2 linked regions of the Drosophila melanogaster genome follow. The protein of the gene in region 2 interacts with the protein of the main gene of each other region in a biochemical or structural test. Each region holds a gene or a part of one and is shown on either strand. Other genes may lie near its edges. The genes, in order: Top2 and mus101.

Region 1 (7,449 bases), on a different chromosome or scaffold from region 2:
GATCTTTTGGCCATCGTCCACCTGGTAATCCAAAAGTGGATCGTCCAAAGGATGGTAGATGAGTCGCGTCAAGGGAGACATTATAGTGAAAATGTAACGAGCGCTGGCGCAATCTTTGCCTCCCGACAAGCGGGTACCAAATTGACCGCGTGGCTCAAGCAGATTAATGTTGTTGGCACCCACAAAATTCTGAGCCAGATTCACGATTGTCATCTGTAGGGATACCTCTCCGTGGTGATAGGCTGACATCTCCGCCACTGATCCGGATAGCTGGGCCACCTTCACCTCACGCTTGTCATTCCTCTTGAAGCAAGTGAACATCACCTTCCGCTGACCCGGCTTCAAGCCATCCACCAGACTAGGAATGGAGCGCTCATTGTCAGCATTCGAGAACAGCACCAACTCCAGATTGATAAAGTCTGCATAGGTGATGCTCTTGGTGCCCTTGGTGTAGAGATATCGCTCTGGCAAACCGAGCTCCTTGCGACGCTTCACCTCGTCCATGTGGTTGGTAAGCCATACCTTTCGCGACTCGATGTGCTTCTTGGAGAAGGCCATAACAATGCTCTCATCATCCACCGATCCATCGTACTTAAATAAGATGCGATGGCGATCCATGTCTTGAAAATACTCTTTCGCCTCCTTGGAGGTCGAAGTACCCAAACCCTTATAGTACTTTATATTGTACGTATGGTGATTAGCTGTATCATTTTTCCACTCCTCGAATTCGGGTAGCGAGTAGAATGACAGCTCCTCGTTTTTCTTGGTTGCCTTCACAATTGGTGTAATGAACTCCTCGAGGAAGGGCAGACGCAGAAGCTCTGGCCAATTGGTGTGGATAAAGTTGATCAAGAGACCCTTGATGTGGGAGCCATCCTGATCCTGATCTGTCATGATCATCACTTTGCCATAGCGCAGAGTTTTTAGATCGTCCTCAGTGAGGTACTTCTTTTTGTATTGCAAGCCAATTATCTTGCATAAATTGTTGATTTCGGCATTCTCCGAAAGCTGCTTGAAATTAGCTTCCCGCACATTTAGAAGTTTACCCCTAAGCGGGAACACGCCGTAGAGATCTCGTCCGATCACGCCCAAACCGGATACGGCCAATGACTTGGCTGAGTCTCCCTCGGTGAGGATGAGGGTGCATTTAATCGAGTTCTTTCCACCCGCCTCGTTAGCGTCCTCCAGCTTGGGAATGCCCTTGATCTTGCTTGACTTGCGACCGCCCGTCTTGGCAATGTCATTTTGGGCCTTGAACTTGGCCCATGCCAGCACAGACTCCACGATGCCAGACTTGGACATGTTGTTGATGAACTTTTCCGAGAGGGTACACTTGGAACCGAAGCCCTTTTGTTGCAGAGTCATGTTCTCCTTGGTCTGCGAGTCGAAAGTGGGGTTCTCTATCAAGCAGTTGACAAAAACCCACAGATGGTTTCGGACCTGGAATGGCTTGATGTTGATGCCACCTGGAAGAGGTTCAAAGCAAATATTAGTTGTTGTTTAAGAAAATACACATTTTAAGTTAAACGTACCTTTGTTCTTTTTCTTCAGAACCTCGAGCAGCTGCTTAATGAGATTGTCTACCACATGGTCCACATGCCGACCGCCCTTGTAGGTAGCTATCGAGTTGACAAACGAGACCTGTTGGAAGCCTCGATCTGAAGGACAGCAAGCCACCTCCCAACGCTCGTTGGCAACCTCGTGGACTATCTTGATCGGTGGGCCAGAATCGTCGTCCGTGTTCTTGATGTGCAAATCAATATAGTCCTTGAAGTTGCGTACACCCAGTTTGTTGCCGTTTAAGAAGACGGATACTCCCTTGGATGAGGCGGCCACATCGTAGGCGCGACGCGACATTAGAGCCACAATATCTTCATCGAGACGGTCCATCTTGAACTTGGCCAGATCGGGACTGAATGTGATGCGTGTGTAGTCAGTGCCATTGAAGTCCTTGATCTGTGGGTTTACTGAACATTAGATGATGGTCTAAAATAAGAAATGTTATTTCCTTACCTGCACATCGGAGGCTTTTCCCATGTTGTTTCCCCAAGTCTGCTTGAAACTTTTCTTGTATTCCCTCGTGGCAGTCTCAACGGTGAAGCTGGTGGAGAATATGTTGCAGAGCTTCGCTCCGTATCCGTTCCTGCCGCCAGTGACCTTCTTCTCATCGTCGTTGTAGTTCGACGAGGTCAGCAGATGACCAAAGATCATCGTTGGAACGTACATCTTCTGCTCCTTGTGCATGGTCACCGGAATGCCCTGGCCGTTGTTCCACACGGACACCATATTGCGCTCCGGATCGATGTCGATCTTAATGGTGTTCATGCTCTTGTCTCGCTGCTTGTTATCTGCCGCATTCACAAGAATCTCGTCGAATATCTTGTAGAGGCCGGGCACGAAAGAGATCTCCTTCTGCACCATGCGGTTTTGGGAGTTGTCATACACCCACATCAGCTCCTTGGTGAACTCCACGGATCCGATGTACGAGTCGGGTCGCAGCAGGATGTGCTCCAGCTGCGACTTCTTCTGGTACATCTGTTCGATGGACAGGGCCTTGTTTCCGTTCTCCATGATGCTTCTGTCGCTGTGCTTTAGCTGAATCTTCAAAGAGTAAGCAAAAGGCATTTGTTAATGTAATATTAATATTAATAACTAATATTCCGAGCCATTGCCTTAGCTACTATTAATCACTCGTCCTGCGTTCTACTAAGTAAAAAAAAAACCAAAGCTACTAGCAGAAGACTACAGTACCCACCCAGTTAACAGTTGCTATTAGTATATTAGTAATATTATGTTCACGTTTTTTTTTTAATTGTTATAATACCAAATAAGATAGATGGCACCCAATATGTTTAATGGCCTCTTAATAACGGGGATGGTTGTGCGTTGGCATGTGATGCCAATGCTGCTGATGCTGCTGTTCAACAATTTTTTATTAATGAATGCGCACTGTACCCACGGTGAAAAAAAAAAACAAAACGCGCGCCCGCGCATTGCGTAAATGCCGTCCAGACAAACGCTGCAATGGAATGGGACTTGGCCAACATGGGAAATGGTTGGGTACGTCAAACAGAAATAACTGCAGATAAATTGAAAAACGTCAAACTAAGTATTATTTTGCCTGGTGCTACTGTACTGGGAACAGATTTTCAGCACACTTTGAAATACATAACAGCCCTGTCTCTTTGGCGGCAACGCTTGGCGTGCGCCGTCTGTTGCGTGAGTGTGCGTGTTTATTGGCGTTTGCCGGTAGTCACCGCTATTTATTATTTCTTATTAAGGTTCTTCGAGGGGTTTCACTTTATAGTAAACAAATTCAGGCCTACATACGCGCTCCGCGCTACAAAATCAAAAAACTATGGTTTTTAAAGGCCCAAAATTAGCTAAATGTCTATACCGGTATCGCCATTTTTAATTTGCAAGCGACGCCACCGAAAAATTGCTATATCCATCATATTAAAGGATTAATTAGACAGGGCTCTTAGGTTCTACGGTACAGCCAATTCTACGATTATGATTCAGCACTTTCTGCTTACCTGGTTAAAAAATTGCCAAGTATTTGTGGCCTTTTCTTGCTGCCGCCGACAACCGAAGTGCGGCAAAACTCTATGTTGCAGGCGATACACGAGGCGGTGCACTACAATTTTCGACTTGTACGTGCCCCACGCGTCTGCTGCCTTTAGCTAAAACTTGTACAGTTCTCAACTAACTATTAAAATACGCACAGCACATTTAACAACTTTTCACAACCGACAACAAATGAGAAGTATTGCTGGTTTTAGAGCTGGCAAGGCGCACAAATCGATGTTTGAATGAAATCGCTATCGATAAGTCCCATAACAGTGTTGTTTGGGTTGGTGCATACGCTCATTGTGAACAGGGCTAAACTAGTAACTGCGGTCGGTGACTCCGCTAAAAGCGTGATCGCCAAAATCACGGTTTTTTAGTTCTATCTCAATCACGTGATGAGTTAAGCAACAGTTAATTCTAAAAAATTCGAAGGTAATAAATAATAATAACATTTTTGGGGTTAAATTCTTTTTCGAGTCGAAAGTAGGGGTTTTAATTATTCCAACTAACATTTCTTCTATTTTTTACATTATAAATCGGCATTGAAATAAATGTAAAAAAGATAAAATATTTCGATCTAAATGCAAATTATCAAAAATTTAAGACAAAGTAAAACCATTAAGAAATTTATCCTTTCATATGCTTAGTATTGTATCCCACATCAATGTGATATACAGCAATTACTTAAAATGAAATGAAATGAAAAATTGCTGCTAAAGTTGCATTTGTGCAATTAAATTTCGCACCGTTGAAGTGAAGATTGCTTTTCAATTAACCACCTGGTAATATGAATATTCCAAAGCCAAGACCATGGCTACAAGAGAACTGGTTTTCTTTCTGCCATTTTGCCTGACCTTGCCCAACACGACGTCATAAAGGGGCATGTCCCTCCCCATCCCGTTGCGATTTTCATTCCGGCTCAGAAACATGTTTTGAATAGTGCAAACAAAATATAAAGATTCTGGATTCATCCGAGTTACTCGGAATTTCTGCTTGGGTAATGGAGAACCCTTCACGCAGTGACGTCACCGGAGCTCATTGAACTTGCACAGCATCGAATATCGTCCAGAAATATTCTCTACTCCTCCAAATCTGTTGATTCTCGTTTGACAAGCATCAGCAAAGATCTCTCAATATGCGGAGTGCAGTTTGTACCCTGCCAAATTGGGAATTTCAGCTGATGCATGGGAAAATTGTGAACTAGCGGAGTTAAGTGCAGTTTATTCCAGGATACTATTAGCAAGTTGAACAAGATGTGAGCTAAAACTCCTAAGATTTGGTAAGATAAAAAGATAAACATAAGTACTACAATTAGCAATTAGTTTCTTTTTTTTTTTTTTGAATAAATTGTATGTATATGTATTGTTAATCAACAAATTTTACTTAATTGCGTTTTTAAGGGTGTTTGCATCGTCGTTTCATCGAGCTGGCTCTCCCTATTTTCAGATGCTGGTTTCTCGTTCTCGCATACTGGTTTATAGTCATAAGTGCTGCGCTTTTTCTCGACTTTTTCCATTGAGACTTGTGTTCATAAAATCTTCTGTTCTAAGCGATCCCCAGCTCAGTTTCATTCCAAGCTTCTGCGATGCCACTTGTGTGCGATCTTCGTTAAGTCGGATTCCCCGTACTGCAAGCTGGAAAAAATAGAAACCGTGACCAGAAACAGTAACCGCCACTCGGATTGGATTATTACCTGGTAATGAAAGTGAAGACCCCGAGCTAATGGGGCGATTTAAACAGGTGTTTAAAGGTGCAGGTGGGGCTGTGAAATAATCGCTTATTATCAAACACCCTAATGGGGGGCACTATTATTGTGATTATCTTGGGATTATCAAATCCATGTAGACAATTAACGACAACAATGGCGAGTTCATTAACACTTGAACCGAACTACGAGTATGTATGTGCTGGGACTTAAGCACTGCAATCAGGCGTACTTAAAAGTGCATAATGTGTAATTAGTTGGAATTTGTTGAATATGATTAAATATTGACCCAGGCACTTTGCACGGCCACCACGTGTGAAATTTGTGTGTGCTGCACTTTGAGATCGCGGTGGCATCATCTCACAGTATCTGCCAAATACGCGTCGAACTCACACAACGCTGCACCGCACAGACCCCAAGCGACCCGATTAGCCATTGGCGAACTGGGAACGCGGCGGATAATGCCTTATCAGGCAGTGGCTCCTCTACAATCGCGGGGTTCACTGGGGGCAAGTTTGGGTCTGGCTCTGCGTTTTGGGGTGTAGGGATAGGAATTGGGAAATCCGGCCAAGGCCAGGTCGAGGTACACCTAACAAGAGCACATATTTTGGGGCTGATGCTGAACACTATGCAATTCCAAGATTAAGCTAGCAATGTAACAATCGGTACTAACCCCCAATTAGTATATATTTATATTATATATATATATATTATTATATTATATTAATATATTTTAAATGATTTTAAAAATTTTAATGATTTCATTTTGCATACATTGTTTTGAAAGTGTACCTACCTAATGTATTGATTGCTGGAAACAACCAACCCAAAGGCAATGTTTCTAAAAACTAAGTGCAGCCAAAACTGAGTAATTGCACAACACTTTACTTATACTATATTGTTTATAATTCTTGTGGATTCCCGCTCCATCAATTAAGTACAGCAGATTCACTAAATTTAGCTCGAGCTCAGTGACACACTGTTATCACTCATCGGCTGTCTCCTTCGCGCTATCGCAATGTTCATTGTTGTTCGGTTTCTAGTTAATATTTAATGGTCGCATACACACTCGTACATGTTTAGCGACAAGTAAAACAGCATTTCGCCTGGGACTGTCACCACTTGGCCCGATTCTGGTTCCGATCGGGGGCTCAGTTTCACACTTGGAGTCGAGCGGATCACAGCCCATAAATGGTAACAACGAGAAATTCATCCAGCAGTGACATGCCAAATCTCTCTGAAATTTAAATGTCAATACGGGTGGCGAAATGTTGCTAACAACGAAACAATCGGGAACAGTCATATTGCGCTATTCTCAACTGGATTTATTTTTATTTACATTTTGCGCGAGTGAAAAGCGCTTATCAATGCACCACCCCCTTATGGCCACATTGTATCTATAGTTTGGGCTTTTTTTAGACGACCAGCAGTGGATGCCGCACCATGCCCACCATCGAGCACAAGCTAAACATCACCGAGGAGGAGGTTCCGGAGCACATCCGCCGACTTGCCCAGGAGCAGGGAGAGTGTCCCAGTTCCAAGGATAAGGTCATCGAACAATTCCGTAACTACATACTAGGTTGGTTATAGTCCGTTGTCTAAGAGGTACAAAGGTATTCATCTGAACAAAACCTCTCCAGAACATAATGAATGCCAACCACACAGAAGTGATGCGAAGTACCTGGAGAAATTCCTAAGAGCCCGCTACTGGAAAATCGAGAACAGTTACAAATTGGTAAGAAAACTTGGGGAAATCTTCATTTTAGTTTGCCAACAGCAAGTGACTATTTGATAATTATCTATTAGGTAAATGCAATAACTCATTCCCTTTCAGCTCTGCAGTTACTACAGGTTTCGGGAGCAGAACAAAAGCTTTTATGAGAAGGTTCGTCCTCTGGACCTGAGACATGTTGGGCAATCGGACATCCTGACAGTGACTCCCTATCGGGATCAACATGGCCATAGGATACTCATCTACCGATTCGGACTGTGGCGACCCAATCAAGTAACCGTCGACGATATATTTCGCGCCACCATTGTCCTGCAGGAACTGGGCAGCCTGGAACCCATCTCACAGATTGTCGGAGGAGTGGGAATATTCGATCTGAAGGACCTGGGCTTGGAACACATACTCCACCTGAGTCCCAGCGTGGCTCAGAAGATGATTGCTCTAC
Region 2 (7,449 bases):
AACGCATAACGTAATATTAAAATTCGAATTTGAAAATATGTATGTTTGAATTAACTATTTAATACAAAAATGTGTTGGATTTATGGTTTTAAGACCACAATTTACTATTATTTTGTTACTGCGTACTGCCACATGTATTTAATGGCTTTAGATTAATATATTTGTTGCTAAATTACTTCATTCTTGCTAATTAATATTCACAAGTTACTCTTGATATTCAAGGAGTAATATATGTATATACCACACTGCCGCCCATTGATAGTGTAACTAATTTAGTTCGAATTATACTGTGGAATGTAGCGCCCTAGGCGCCGTTGTTTATTGGATTTATTTTATTTGTTATATACCCAAGCCATTATACTAGATTAAACTACATACACACACATGCATGTGGGACGTGTGTCTTTTCGTGTCTGTGGTGTTAGTGTTTGTATGTATGTATATACTGTGTATACTGGTTAAGTGTTGCGTCCTGGTAGCCTTATTCCTTGCTCCTCCTCCGTTCCATCCTTATCCGTATTATCATTATCATCATCATCATCATCATCATCATTAGCATTACCATTAATATTAATATTAATATAATCCTCAAAATATTTGTTCCTGCGAGCGGGGAAGCAGCATTGATTTAACTAAATCTAGGTGAACTCCGAATAAATAGTATAAACGCAAAGCTAAAACGAGAAAACGAATTTCCGCGAAATTCAACCGAGACCGGCTCTAAACATTGACGGCATTCTGCAGAGCTGTCTTGTCATCTACGATAATATTGGCCGCCGTAGTGGTCGGATTGGAGCTGAGCAGCTGCTTGGTGGACGAACTGGAGGAGTAGCTATCACTGGAGCTGCGCGTCGAGGCCGAGTTGCCGCTGATTGGGCTGTCCAACATGTCTGGATGGCAGTAAGATATATGTTTTAATCATGTGACAATTGGAAACCGAATCAGAAACACCAACCTGGCAGGGAGCTTACGTTGTTGGACTTCAAGTCCACAACCGTTGTCACCGATCCGGAGCCCACCATGTTGCCCACCGATGTGGACTTTTTGTGCAGGTTCTTCTTAACTGCACTACTGAAACCCACAACGACGGGTCCCACTCCAGCTTGTCCGCCCACTGATCCTGCGCTCCTGCCCACGCTGAGACCGCCATTGCCCAGACTGCCGGCGCCAAGGGGATCACCGCTTTTGGCTCGCTCCGTGGGGCACAGTGGGCTTAATATCGAATTCTGAGTATCCTCCGGCGTGTAGTAATCCGAATCCTCGGCCGTGGCCTCGGCGGGTGAGGGTGCACCGCTTCCGCTAAGTTCTGGTCTCGGTTTGGTGCGCTTTATCGACGAACCCTTCTTTAGGCTGGACTCCTCGGTCGGCCCATCACCAGTGCTGCTCTTATTATCGACATCATCATCCGCTTCCAGGCAGGCCACCACCTGCTTCAGCGATTTGCTAGAAACGTTCTTGCTCTTGCTGCCGGGTGATAGCAGAGGCGATAGCTTCTCGTTCTCACTGTCCACATCGTCATCGGTACCCGCGGAGCCATCGCCACCGGAACCGGCTGTGGATCTGGGATACTTTCGTTCGTTAACAATCTGCAGCTTGTCCTGTTTCGGTTCCGGCGAAGTGGATGCCCCCAATGTTGGCGAAGTACAGGTGGCCGTGCTGGACTTCTTCGGATCGCTTTCAATCTCCACAGAGTGTGTGGATGACCCATTGCCGCCGCCCGATTGATTGGTAATGGTGCCCACCTCACTGGTCGACGTGCACGTCGAAGCGTTTTTCTTGATCTTCGGTCGACGCTGGCTGCTGGACTTGATCGGCGATGTGGCCTTGATGTCAGCACTGGTCATTGTCGAAGCGGCCACGGTGGCAGCTGAGTCCGTGACATCGTGTTCGCTGTTCCTGAATTTTGGAAAAAAAGGCATCAGCTACGTAAGATTTATCGGTTAATTCCATTCCATAACTCACCTAGCCCTGGCCACATACTGTGGCGGTCCGTTGAGTGCCTCAATTAGTGAGACTGGAATATAGCCTGGCGGAACATCCACTGGCGCCGGCTCCCCGGCCGCCGATGTGGGCGTGTTCTGGTGCAGTACATGCGTGCTAATTCCCTTCTGGACAGCACGGATCTGAAGCAACGCCCGAAACGGAGCGCGACAAATGGGACAATTGTTGGCCTGATAGCGCAGCGAATCCGCGCATGAATTGCACAAACAGAGATGGCGGCAGGGCAGGATGAGCGTATCCCTCGTCTCACTCATGCAAATAACACACTCGCTGCCATGATCGTCGATCTCCTCGTCCAGAGACGTTTTGTTCACGGCCTTGTTCTCGATGCCATAGATCTCCTGTAGCAGGTAGCACAAGCCATCCACAAAGATCTTTTGCTTCAATGCACGCAGCACATAGCTGCCGTTTTCCGGATGATGATCGATCACACAGATGGTGGTGTGCGATTGCCGACACTCGTCGCTGCCCTCCTCCACCACACAGTGAATGGCCACGGGATACTGTTCACGGCCGGGACTATAGCCCAGTTCATCCTCGGGCATCTGCTGCGGATTGAAGACATGGCTCGGCTGCGAGAAGCACTGATTGATGCCCTTCTCGTAGTGGTACGTCTCCGAGGTGAGACCCTCGCGCGGCACCAGTGTCACGCCGCTGGGACTGACATCCTCCGAGCAGAAATAGTAAATGGTAATGGCGCACTTGGCGTCCGAGTCAAAGGTAAACTCGATGTTGTAAGAGCAGGGCGGCGGTGGGGGCGTCATATCGGCATCACCGCCACCCAAACCCATCGAGCAGAGCACATTTCCATCCACATCCTCGATGGTCACGTTGGACTTCTCCTTGTCCAGATCCAAGTCCCGATCAATCTCCTTCATCTTGGGCTTCTCGAGTACACCGCCCAGCTTCTTGTCGTTCATCGTCTTGACGAAACGCACCGACTCCTTGCGAATGTTGACCAGACTCTTCAGGGTCTTCGTCGGTTCATTGGCCTGCGGCGGGGGATACGGAAAGGCTGTGGGTCGATTGCCCAGGAAATTGAGATCCGCATTCTCGCCAAACAAGTACGATTCCGGTTGGGGCGTGTCGAAGCGCTCGCCGCCCATGATGAAGTGGGTGCCAAAGAAGTTACCCATTCTCGGTGGATACTTGTAGGCATTGTTCGTGCTCGGATCGGCCTCCTCCACCGCCGCGTTCTGTCTGCTCACAAAGTTGCCCATTTGATAGGTTGGTGCTATGGAAAACTGTGACACAGATCCAATATAGCTCTTGGCCTACGTTTTCTCTTCGCTTTGGTTTAGTTTATTATTCTATTTCAGTTGGTCACCACCACACATACAATGGCATGTTGGCATTTCACTTGTTCGGCGGAAAATGGCCGCTGTGTGTGTGTGAGTGTGCGAAAGCTGTGGTCGCCTTCAAGTGTTGGATCCTGTGTCCACAAAACTAGCAATAGTACAAGTTGGTCAATGTCTTGATTATTTCTGATTTGCCTTTCCTTTCTTCTTTCTTCCTTTCTTTTAGGGCTGAGCTGCCGTCGACGACGTGGATATCGATATTTCGCTTAATGAAATATATCGATAGCTTAAACCAAAACTGATAAATAACTGCTTATTTTCGAAATATTTTATTTATTTGATAAAAAGTAAATAAAAAATCCTTACATCTTAGAGATAAATAATTAAAATTACCCATACACATTATTTTTTAATTCGCCGTCGGCGTTGCCACATAGCTCAACTCGTAGTTGCCAACTAATCACAAGCCAGCGTTGCCAACGGTTTGAAGGCAATAACAAACGGCGCCAAAATAGCGTACGCGAAAAAAAGTGCAGTGCGAAAATCACGGCAATTTTGCAGCGCATCACGGAGCAGAGAACACACTCGCAACCGCCATCATGAGCATAAGCATGAGCATGGACGAGACCATCTGCGCGTACTTCGTGAACAATCTGAAGCCGGGCGACGGTGGCGTCCAGGAGGCCGACACACTGCAGCAATTCGAGGCGGCGCGGGAGCTACTGGGCCAACAGTTGGCGGAAACGCAGATCCGGCAAATAAAGCCAAGCGAAGGATATCCCCTGATCGCAGCCGGTAACCTTACCAAGAAGGACGTCTTTGTGCTGACCCAGTTCGAGGGCGAATTCTTCGAGCAATTGCAGCAGACGCGAGCACTAATTCTGGGGCCACCGTGCCTCATCACCTGCCTGCGGCGCAATGAACCCATTCCCGAGGGCAGCAGTGCCATCTACAGCACGGCCATGCGGGATCTGCAGGTCTCGGCCACGGGCATAACACCACAGAAGAAAGAGGAATTGAGCAGGCTCATAAACTGGATGGGCGGCATATACTTTCAAAGCTTCGGGCATCGCACCACCCACCTCATTTCGAACACCATCAAGTCCAGCAAGTACGAGCAGGCAACGCTGAACGGAGTACCCGTAATGCACGTCGACTGGGTGCAGTACGTCTGGGATCAGAGTCGTCGCAGCCAGCGCGAGGGCATCATGGCCACGGATCCTGATTTCGATAAGTATCGCCTGCCCATTTTCTTTGGTGCGAATATCACGTGCAGTGGATTGGATGTGGCGCGCAAGGATCAAGTTATGCGGCTGGTCAACGATAATGGAGGCATCTATCATCGTGCCTTTCGCTCCCAGGTGGTGGACATCGTCATCACCGAGCAAACAAAAACGGACACCGAGAAGTATAAGGCAGCCATACGCTACAAGAAGGATGTCTTGCTGCCGGAATGGATCTTCGATAGCTGCAATCGCGGCTACGCTCTGCCCACAAAGGACTATGAGGTGCGGCCTGGCAAGACGTCGTCCACACCCACCAAGACCACTCGTCCGGGCGCAGCTCCCGGTGCAGATCAAACGCACCTCTCGGATCTCTCACGTATCAGCTTCGTCTCCGGCTCGCGTCGCATGTGCAGCGATCTTAGTACCGTCAACGAATCCGTCAGCAGTGTGGGCAGCAGTTCGCCCGCCAAGCAGCTGCTCAAGCAGGCGACTAGCAGTGGCCGCAACTACCAGCAGGTGCTGGCCGAGATTGAACCGCGTCAGGCGAAAAAAGCGGGCGCCTTTCTGGATGGCTGCTGTGTGTATTTGAGTGGCTTCCGCTCAGAGGAGCGTGAGAAGCTAAACAGAGTGCTGAATACGGGCGGAGCGACCCGCTACGATGAGGCCAATGAGGGCATCTCACACATCATTGTGGGCCAACTGGATGACGCCGAATACCGACAGTGGCAGCGCGATGGTCTCATGGGTTCAGTTCATGTGGTGCGCCTAGATTGGCTGCTGGAGAGCATTCGAGCTGGTCGCGTGGTCAGTGAGTTGGTGCATCGTGTGTCGATGCCACAGAATCGAGAACCAGACGTTGCCTCTCCTGCCAGCAAGCGAACACTGCGCTCCATGAACCACAGCTTCAAGCAGCCAACATTGCCCATCAAGAAGAAGCTTTTCGATCAGGAACCGGATCCCGTGCAGGAACAGGAGCACGAGGAGCCGGATCATACGCTGCTGGATCAGTACTCACAGGATCAAGGAGCAGTGGCACAACTGCCACCGGCAGATGTTAGTCTCCTTCAACCAGCGGCAAGTTCCACCCAAATGGATATACGCCAGCGAGTCTCGGTAGCCAATCCAAAACCACCCGCTGAGGGTTTGCAATTGCCGGATCTCAGTGCCAGCACTCTATCCATTGATTTCGATAAGCTGGACTACTTCGCCGGTGTCTCTGTTTATGTGCACAGGGAGTGTTTCAACGAGGAGTTCTTCAACCAAATGCTAACCGAATGCGAAGCTGCCCAAGGCTTATTGGTGCCATCGAGTTTCTCCGATGAAGTGGATTTCGCCATTGTCAGCTTTGAGGTAGCCTTCGATGTGAAGCAATTACCCGTCAAGGCCCGCCATGTGGTCACCGAACTGTTCCTGGAAAGCTGTATGAAAAAGAATCAACTGCTGCCCATCGAATATTACCACAAACATGTGCCGGCTACCGCACTGCGTCAGCCGCTTAAGGGAATGACTATTGTCGTATCCATTTATGCAGGATTGGAGCGGGACTTTATTAATGCGACAGCAGAACTACTTGGCGCCTCCGTCAATAAGACATTCATCAAGAAGGAGAAACCGCTGCTGGTGTGTCCCAGTGCCGAGGGCTCCAAGTATGAAGGTGCCATCAAATGGAACTATCCCGTAGTCACATCCGATTGGCTGGTGCAGTGCGCCCGCACTGGTCAGAAGCTGCCCTTCGTTGGATATTTGGTGGGCAAGAGTCCCGAGGATTTCCCCATATCGCCACGCTTGCGGGACAGCAATAGCCGGACAGCAAGAAGACCGAATGAATCCACATTGGTGGCTCAACCGGATGTAACCATGGAGGAGGCCGAGAACCAACCGGCGGGATCTGTCACACCAGTTACTGCTGGCAGTCCAGGAGCTCCTGAACTGACGCCCCTGCGCAACAAGAGAGTTTCCGAGCTAGCTGGAATACCAGGAGGCAGTGCTCTTCATCGTGGCAGCAACTCCACATCTTCTCCGGACTCACCATGCACGCCACTTAGCCAGGTGGGTGCCCAGCAGTACAATCTGGACTTCCTAGAGCAATTCGTTCAACGCCTGGATACAGAAGAGGGCAAGGATTGTGTGCGCGAGATTATCCGTGAAATGCGCGAGAATCAAACGCCGGAATTGGAACGCATTCGACGGCAGGCCTGCACGCCCGTCAGTCGTAAGCATCAACGACCAGCACCGGGAATTCCAGATTTTTGTCTCACTCCCGAGTTCCAGCAGCGGATGGCCGATGATTTTGAGCGGCGCTGGCGCCTACCCACCATGAAAATCAAACCAGACACACCGTTGGCCGTCATCAGGCAGCGCGTGATGCGGATCACATGCGAAACTCTGGGCATCGAATATGAAGAAAGTAATGCTAAGACGCCAACGCTATCGGAATCGCCATCAACGGTAAAGAAGAAGCCGCCAACCAGGACGACGCAGGCCACCAAACTCAACTTTGATAGATCACCGAAAACACCGAAGCTATCGCTAGGTAAAAAGACGCCACTCCGGGTGTCCATGGGTTCACCCCGCAGCGGAACGCAATCACCCTTCGTACCGAACACACAGAGTCCAATCGAAGCAGCGCCGCCACGGCGTTCAGATGGTCCAACGTTAAGCGAGGAAGGTCAGAGCACTATTAACTTTGACAAGATTAGCTTCGAGGAGTCGGCCGTGCCCGTATTGGCCCCAGATGTTCCCACAGTGGCGCCAGATGTCAAGCAAATCACCGACTATCTAAAGAACTGCGAATCGCGAAGGAACAGTCTGAAGCGTAGCCACGACAACGACATGGATTGCGGCGAGAGCGAGGTGCAGTATGTGCAGCCCTTCGAGTCCGAGGGCTTCGCCCTGGGCACCGAGGACATGGTCGACTGGCGCGA

The links.
Region 1: the proteins of mus101 (region 2) and Top2 form a complex in vitro, tested with the Drosophila melanogaster proteins (one study listed by BioGRID).

What each region holds. Positions count from the first base shown.
Region 1 is NT_033779.5:19,449,715-19,457,163, forward strand, and holds the start of Top2 (topoisomerase 2), read right to left. Parts: upstream 3,777-7,449; 5' UTR 3,537-3,776; intron 3,080-3,536; 5' UTR 2,825-3,079; intron 2,602-2,824; 5' UTR 2,572-2,601; coding exon 2,014-2,571; intron 1,957-2,013; coding exon 1,533-1,956; intron 1,467-1,532; coding exon 1-1,466. Other genes in the region: CG10026 (uncharacterized protein), read left to right, coding at 6,467-6,469, 6,695-6,854, 6,916-7,010, 7,110-7,449. UniProt on the Drosophila melanogaster protein: Control of topological states of DNA by transient breakage and subsequent rejoining of DNA strands. Topoisomerase II makes double-strand breaks. Essential during mitosis and meiosis for proper segregation of daughter chromosomes.
Region 2 is NC_004354.4:13,718,456-13,725,904, forward strand, and holds the start of mus101 (mutagen-sensitive 101), read left to right. Parts: upstream 1-3,790; 5' UTR 3,791-3,898; coding exon 3,899-7,449. Other genes in the region: Mrgn1 (mahogunin ring finger 1), read right to left, coding at 721-890, 956-1,896, 1,963-3,221.